Tribolium castaneum: one gene and its partner. The protein of the gene in region 2 binds, or shares a complex with, the protein of the main gene of each other region. Links are inferred from orthologs where the notes say so. Each region holds a gene or a part of one and is shown on either strand. Other genes may lie near its edges.

Region 1 (3,819 bases), on a different chromosome or scaffold from region 2:
GGTGTCGATGCGACGAAGGTGAGCCCCCTATTGCCCGTCACACCTTCACTGTTCGTTGTAGCTTCAAAAAAGACGTCCTAATTTTACACTTGACTGCGCTGGTGGAAGTGGTCATTTCGGGGCTCTTGTCGGTGCTTTTCACGCACCCGTTCGGCGAGTTCCAGGTGCGGAACTGCAGAGTGCGCAGCTTGGCCGATTGGTACACTTTGTTGCATAATCCGGCCCCGGATTATGAGAAGAGGGTGCATTGTACCCAGGAGGCTGTGTATCCCTTGTAGGGCTACTAATTGATTATACTACTTTATTGAGTGTTTTTGTTTTAGGTATACGCTAGTTTTTATTTTTTATGCCCTGACTTTGATTGTTATGCTTTTGATAAGGCCATGGGTTTGCCGGAAATACCTTCCAAGGCAGAGCAAAATGTCGATTTATGCCGCCATGTACTATATACCGATTTTGGTGGTGGTCCATGCCCTAATTGGGGGACTTCTTTGTACGTAATGATTGCGCCAAAAATCACACTTTTGATTGGTTTTGTTCCAGATTATGCGTTCCCAATTTTGGTCGTTATTTTGTCAGTTATTTCGTGTGCTTATCACTTTGCCCTCAAAATCAACCAATCGATTCCCTCACTCATCATAACAACAGTTGTAGACCCGAGAAATGTGGTAATCTTAGTGGGCCATTGGTGTTTACACGCCTATGGTTTAATTTCAATAACTCAGCTTAGTGACCCGACTTTTCACTCATTGTTGCTACTGTTGGTCCCACTGCCGGCTTTTTTTTACATTTTCACGGCCAGGTTTACCGACCCGACAATATTTACGTAATTTATTTTTTAATAATAATAATAAACTAAAAACAGATTTATTTTTTCTCCTCCTGAACCTTCCGCTCCAAATCGCTAATTAGCGAATCGATTTCCTCAACTGAGAAAACCTTCTTCTTCACAAATCTATTGTTTAAGTGGCTTTTGTCCTAAAAATTTCACTAAAAAGGGAGGGAAATCTCTCAAAAAGCTTACCCAAAAATTGATATATTCGGGCGAAATCGTTTCAAGGAACAATATCCGGTCTTCTAGTTTCTTCAAACGGGTGTAGATATTTTTCGGGGTTGGGGTGGTCAAACTGAGTTGGATTTCCAGGTTTTGGAGGCGCTCCTCAATGCCGTTTTGGGGGATGTATTTGGTCAGGTAGTCCGAATTTGTTTGGTCGCGGTGGTAAGTGTTCAAAACCCGACTTACTGCAAAAAAATTAGTCTGAAATACTTGTTTTTCGAAAATCGTCCGAAAAGTAGCACTTTTCCCCGACATTTTTTGCTAAATTTATAGAGGGTTAGTCTGTTAAAAATATATTTCTCGTGTTGACCGTGCAGTTTCTTTGCTCTTTTTTTTCAGTCAATTTTTACTCGGCGCCATGGCCTCCTTGATGTATTATTTTTAACGAAGTTGTCTGCATACATCAAGGAGGTCATGCTCGGCACATTTGTGTCCTGTCCGTAAAGTCTTAATTTTTTCGTTAATTTTTTTATTTTCAGATAAAAATGTGTTCTCTAAACATTAATGAAAAATGTCTGGTGCCAAATAGAATAACCCTGTGCAGTTGTATACTTTTAGCAGACTTGTAAAAATTGGAATAAAAATCGTAAAATTGTGATTTTTTAAGGGCCACGAACCTTGCAAATGGCCATTGGAGTCTTTGCGTTTTTGCAAAACCGCATCGACTCGGGCGCAAGTGAACTCTGAACTTCGATTACTTGTGCAAAACTCTCTCACATTGCTTATGTTGATTTCGTTTCGCTTCATCTCCATAAAATTCTCGATTCGTTTGCTCAAGTCCGCGTTTGAGGCCTTGATTTGAATCAAATGGGGCGAAACGTTGGGAATTTCGACTTTGGGCTCGATTTCGAGCTTGAATTTTTTCGGTTTGGGGGCTATAAATGAGAGCCAATCAATTTTAGACTTTATTTACTTGACCACCCACATTCTTTATTTTCCTTCCACTGTGGAGGAGTTTCAGTTTCAGCGTAAATCTCCTTTTTCCAAATAGGCACACTCTCTTTAACCTTGTTGATGCACCAGTCGGTGGCTTGCAGCGCCTCGGTACGGTGGGGGGACGCGATTGCAATTACAATGCTAGCCTCCTTGACCCCCACAACCCCCAGTCTGTTAAACAAAAAAAAATCAAAATTTGGCCCCAATTTAAATTTTTCAAACCTGTGATAGATTGCGATATTTTCGACTTGAGGCCACTTGGCCCTGATCTCCCCGCACACTTTTTCGAGACACTTCAAAGCCATGGCTTCGTACGCCTCGTACTCCAATTTAAGGACGGTTTTTTCCCCGAAACTGTCTCTGGTGGTCCCCATAAAAACCGAGACTGCGCCACATTTCGGCGAGGCGACTAGATCAGTCAACGCCTCAACACTTAGCTTGTCTTCGGTGAATTTCAAAAAATTCATTTTGGGGCCCTAACCGCCACTCAGAGGTGGGATTATTGCTACTTCGTCGCCCTGTTTTAACACAATTTCGACACTTTCCACGTCGCAAAACTCCTCATTGAGGGAGAGAATAATGTTTTGGGCAATTTCGGCCAAAAAATACGTGCCGACGAGTGTTTCTAAAAGCTTTTTGTAGGAGATGGGGGACGGCAGGTCAAGTTCGGCGGATTTTTGGCCCACGATTTCTCTCGATTTAGCGAAAAACAACACTTTGACGGTCACTAACATATCATAGTGTTGTTGCGCTTACATAATCACCGAATTGAAGCAAAATAATTACTTTTATCACTACTCTGTTTATATTTGAAACGACATATTTAGAGCGCAAGTTGTCAAATTTTTAACCTCACTTTCTTACGAATAAAATGCAATTAAAAATCTTTTTTTCGAATGCTTTGGAAGCTGTTTCCTTTTTTCCTGACAAGAATGCTCTAAACCTAATTTGCTGGACAAATTAGTTAATAATTTGACTAATTAGAGCAATCCTTAAATGTATTGCTAATTGTTTTTTTACAGCCGTAAAAAAAGGTCCCAATGGCTGTTTGTCCGAACATGATTTTTTACAGTCGAAGGCCCTAACGAAGGGCTTAATTTCCTGCAAAAATAAAGAACATTGCAGGATATAACGGGGGTGAAAAAAAAAAACAAAATAATTAAAAACGTAACGAGAACAGCTTGTTTTATTTAAACTTGGGCAATTATTGCCCCCGAAAATGCGCTTTGCTATGACAACAATTGTTTGATCAATCAAACGTTATGGAGTCGCTCCAAAGGCCCCAAATAATCTGCCACGTGCAGCAAGCCCTGAACTACACCGTCCACGACGTCAAGTGGATCCCCTGTTCCGCGAAATTCGTCTCAATCGGGGGCAAATCAAACGGGGCTGGAATTATCGAGACCTACTCAATCAGTGGTGATGGGATCGAAAAAGTGGCCGAATTCGGCAAGAAAGACCACTTTAAATGCGGCACGTTTCACGCCTCGAGTTTAAGAGACCGCCACCTTGCGACTGGCGACTTCAGCGGGCGGTTACAAGTCTGGTAAGTCGTCCAAAAGTTGGCCAAAATTTTTAAGTCTCGTAGGGATTTGGAGGAGAATTTAATCCCGATTTATAAGACGGAGAAGCACCGCGGGGTCATTAACGCCATTGATGGAGTTGCGGGGGTTGCCAGTGGGTGCGGGGCCCCCGAAATAGCCACCGGATCTAAAGACGGTACTGTAATTTTTTATTGAAAGTCATTGCTCGAACATTTTTAGGGGCTGTCATGGTGTGGGACATTCGGCAAAAAGACACCCCCGTGGCCAAGTTCTGCCAAAGCG
Region 2 (4,236 bases):
CTCACATCTTCAGTTTTTCTCTGAATTCTACCCCCCTAGGTAATGTTGGGCACAAAAATTGGGACAATGAGAGGAAATAAATAAGAAATATTGAATTGAAACGCTTTTATATTAATCAAAAAGATTCAACCAGTGAATTCTTGAATGACATGTTAAAAATCAAAGCGCATGCGCGCGCACTTTTTCAATTTGACAATTAACATTTAAAAAATCCAACAAAGAAGACGAAAAGTTCGAGGAAACTGTCCCACGTTATTAAAAGTACGGAAGGGGGTCATGGAGTAGGTAAATGTTGTTTTCAAAACGGCGCTGATGTTTTTTTGCAATAAGTGTTTGTGTCCACATTGGCGCTGGATGCTCCTAACATCAACAAATGAAGAAATCGTATCTAATATCCACTTCAGGGCAAAACACATGCAAAATTATTATTTGGTTTTGCTTTTGTGAGTATTTTTGACTTATGGTGATCAGGCCTTTCAAAAGGTGTTATCATTCAAAAAATTTTTGACGAGATTTGTAGATTGCAAACTCTTTTTGACTTATTTTTTAACATTCCATGTTTATCACTTTTGTGCCGCAGTAAATAAGTAAATACGGCACTACCTAAATCCAAATCAAACTACAACCCCTACACTCATATAACGTATTATTTATTTACAACTCAAATATTTTTACTTTTTTCCTCCCACTCTAGCCACCCCCCGGAATAATTCTTTATATCTTTGAACCCCAACTTCGTCGCAATCTCGGACGCAAGGGCACTACGTTTCCCCGAACGACACGAAAAAATTAAGGGGGTGCTAGAATCAGGTTTAGCCTTTTTGTAAGTTTTTTGAAATTGTTCAGAAGGCATGTCTTTTAACACTTTCTCGACTTCGCCAAGTGGAATATTGATGCTGTCAGGAATAACTCCGGTTTCCTGCAATTCGTGGGGCTCCCTGACATCGATTAGAAGAGTCTTAGGAGTCGTTTTTACTGACTTGACTTCATCAAATGAGGCGATTTGCGTTGCGAAAAGTCTAAGAAAGACGGGCGTTTTGTTCACAAGGGAGAGGATTTGGGGCCCCCTTGATAGCGACATTGGTAACCTAACCTAAAAAATAATTATGTAATTAACTTAATTGATTAGTTTTTGTAAAGTGAACTACCATAGCGCCAATAAAGCGATTTTTACTATTTTTTATCGCCTGTTTTATTAAATTACGACAGTTTTGGCAAAAATCAGTTTGGAGACTTTTTACAGTCACCGTTGGTATCACACAATTCACACAAAACAAATTAGAGGTCCCGTGGCTACAATCAAATTTTCCCCAATTATTTTTTTTTTCACGTTTTATGCCGATTGCGTTCGAATTACATAATAATTTCATAAATAATCGTCAAAAAACACCGCACTAGTAAAGTGCTAGTGCTTTAAATTTTGCCAGGTAGGCAGCGCTTGCCGCTCACATAACCTATGCACATAACCTAAGTTTTTGTGGTATCCAAACAGTTTTCGAAAAAATGGCAAACGCAAACACCGACTTAACCGAAGAAGACGCCGCTGACTTGCAGTTTCCCAAAGGTGAGCCCCCTTGTTTACTTCTCGTTCTCAACTGAGGTTTCAGACTGTGGCCCCCCTGCGTTTTACTCTAGTGACTCTGATAGTGTTTGTTCGAATTGTTCGTGCGATTTGGTCGCGCCTTACATTTATTGCGCTTTGTGTAAAGTGAATATTTGTTCGCTGTGTTTTTCGAAAGGTGCGGAGTTTGGGGGGCACAAGAACGATCACGATTATCACATAATCCGCGACGATTTTCCGGTTTGGGGTAACACGGACTGGACGGCTCGGGAGGAGGTGGTGTTGTTAGAGTCGTTACAAAAATACGGGAACTGGAATTTAGTGGCGAAAGAGTTCCCAAATCGGAGTGTGAGGGAGATTAGGGCGCACTACGATTGGTTTTATTTAGACAGAAAGGGGTCCAAAGACTTGCCCGAGGCGAGCAAAAGGGACTGGTTTTGTGAGCCGGTGGTGCCCTACAGACAGCGGATTAGCGACACCGATGAGCCCCCTCGCTACTCCCCCAACACAGTGGGGTACAAGTCTTTGGCCGGTTATAACCCCGCGAGGTCCGATTTCGAATGCGAGTTCGATTCGTCGGCTGAGGATCTGCTCTCGAACCTTAAACCGGTTGATAAGGACGATCCTCATTTTGACTTGATCACAAATCTTCAATGTGCGATCATTCAGAGTTATAACCGGCGGTTGAGGGAGCGCCAAAGGTGGAAAAAAATCATAAGAGAACACGGATTGATTATTCTGCGGAAAGTTTACGCTTGGCTTCATCGGTATGACGTTACGATTACACGTCCTGTGTATGAAAAACTGATCCGATTTATGCAATTTTGTACTCCTGTCCAGTTCGAAATGTTGATGGAGGGGTTACACCACAGCGGCGAACTCAAAATACAAATTCTTAGGTTCATATCAAACGGTTGAATTAATATAAAGTTGGTTATTTTCCATAATAGCGGCTTATTGAGTTCCAAAAAAACACGACGGAGAAAAAAATGTTCACTAAAGATTAATAAAAACAAAGAAAAATGTTAAAACATACTTCAACAGTTAGTGGCGTGACGAAAAATAATACAATTTGTATTTTGGAAAAAAAAACACTTGTAAAATTCGATGAAAAATTCTCAAACTCTTCAATATTCACGGAATTTTACAAAACATTGTGTTCAACTCGTAAGTTTTTTCCAGAAAGAATTCACTTTTTCTATCTCGTTGCACAAATAGCTATTTACAATGGAACCGTTTTGGTTTAAAAAAATCTCGCGAAAAAAGTTATATCACTCGCTAAATGCAGAATTAACATTTTTTTCAAACAAATCGGCGCTTCAACACTCGAAAAAGCAAATATAATGCTAATTTCGTTCTAATCGCAATTTTTTTGGCTTCTTTTTGAGCAAATGTTGCGAAATAAATGTGTTTTTATGGATGAACGTGGTAATAAATCTCATAAATAGTAAAATATTGTCATCTTCGAGCAGATTTTTTAAGCAAGTTTAGCAAAATTTCAGTAAAAATTGCGTTTTACCTTAAAAAAACGAGCTTTAAAATATGATAGTTAAGAATATAATTACATATATATTTAATTATTTTATTTATTTATATAATATATAATTGTTATTATTATTTATATTTTATTATATTAAATATAATTAAAAATATAATATAATAATAACAATTTGGTGATTACGTTTTTTGAAGAAATGCTAAACTTTCGAAAAAGGCAGAGTAATTAAATTAAATTTCTCGTTCAAAAAAGGAACTTAATTGAGCAAAGTAAACTAAAATAACCCCAATTTAGATTTAATTCTGTGAATTTCTAGCTAGAGAATTTTTAAACACTTTAATTTTTACCTTAAAACATGTATAAAGGCTCACAAAAAGCTGCAACATAGCATTAATTTTGGTCTTTAAAAATCTTCGGCTTGCAAAAGCAAAAGTTTTGACTTAATTTTGTGATTTTTTTGAGTAACATCTTTTTTTGATTGATTGACAAAACTCCTCATTTTTTGGCCAAGAAAAACGATCGACTTTTGTGTTATCTCCTCCTGGTTTATGCTTTTATGTCATTTTTAAACACAATTTAAAAAAAAATGCTAAAACACGTGAAATTGCAAAGTAATGTTTTTTGGCGAAATATCACAAAATAAGAATTTTCTAATTATGTTGTAATATTTTAGACGTGTTTTGGCAAGATTATCCAAACTAAATAAGTAGTAAATTTACCAATCCAAAGTAAACAACAACAATTTCGATTTAATTTGTGGATTTTCAGTTAGTTTTTGCAATTTTTTTTATTTTAAAACATGCCCAAAGATACGAAAACGACAACATTAACACAATTTTTGGTGTAATTGTAAGGTTAATAAAAATATATGAAAGAGAATTTTTAGCTAAAAACGAACTAAAAGGCTTTGAAGAATTTTTGACAGACAAAATTCTTCAAATAGCTGTAGCCTGACGAACAAGAAAAACGTTTGACTTAGTTTTGTGATATTATTGGTATTTCGTTCTAACAAAATCTTGCAAAAACGAAGTTACTTTACACATATTTCGGCAATTTTTTGAGAAATTTTTGCAAAGCTCGCAAAATAAATATTCTTTTATCTGGTTGAAAACCTTGGTTAAACATGAGACATAGCAAATAGTGCTACATTCGATCCAGTTCTCAATTTTGAAGAATT

What was found. The genes of interacting proteins can lie anywhere in the genome.
Region 1: transcriptional adapter 2-alpha (region 2) and Mocs2B share a complex: the UniProt entries of both Drosophila melanogaster proteins name them as parts of the ada2a-containing (ATAC) complex. The link is inferred for Tribolium castaneum from reciprocal best matches to the Drosophila melanogaster genes Ada2a and Mocs2B.

Annotation. Positions count from the first base shown.
Region 1 is NC_087396.1:21,505,699-21,509,517, reverse strand, and holds Mocs2B (molybdopterin synthase catalytic subunit), read right to left. Parts: upstream 2,461-3,819; coding exon 2,216-2,460; intron 2,165-2,215; coding exon 1,983-2,164; intron 1,933-1,982; coding exon 1,675-1,932; intron 1,243-1,674; coding exon 1,025-1,242; intron 979-1,024; coding exon 868-978; 3' UTR 831-867; downstream 1-830. Other genes in the region: JNK1/MAPK8-associated membrane protein, read left to right, coding at 1-18, 62-274, 324-493, 544-830; Mocs2A (molybdopterin synthase sulfur carrier subunit), read right to left, coding at 2,470-2,727; Wdr92 (dynein axonemal assembly factor 10), read left to right, coding at 3,256-3,539, 3,582-3,712, 3,757-3,819. UniProt on the Drosophila melanogaster protein: Catalytic subunit of the molybdopterin synthase complex, a complex that catalyzes the conversion of precursor Z into molybdopterin.
Region 2 is NC_087398.1:11,844,508-11,848,743, reverse strand, and holds the start of transcriptional adapter 2-alpha, read left to right. Parts: upstream 1-1,422; 5' UTR 1,423-1,503; coding exon 1,504-1,564; intron 1,565-1,607; coding exon 1,608-2,460; intron 2,461-4,236. Other genes in the region: rhodanese domain-containing protein CG4456, read right to left, coding at 662-1,093, 1,149-1,151. UniProt on the Drosophila melanogaster protein: Component of the histone acetyltransferase (HAT) complex ATAC; predominantly involved in acetylation of histone H4, including at Lys-6 (H4K5ac) and Lys-13 (H4K12ac).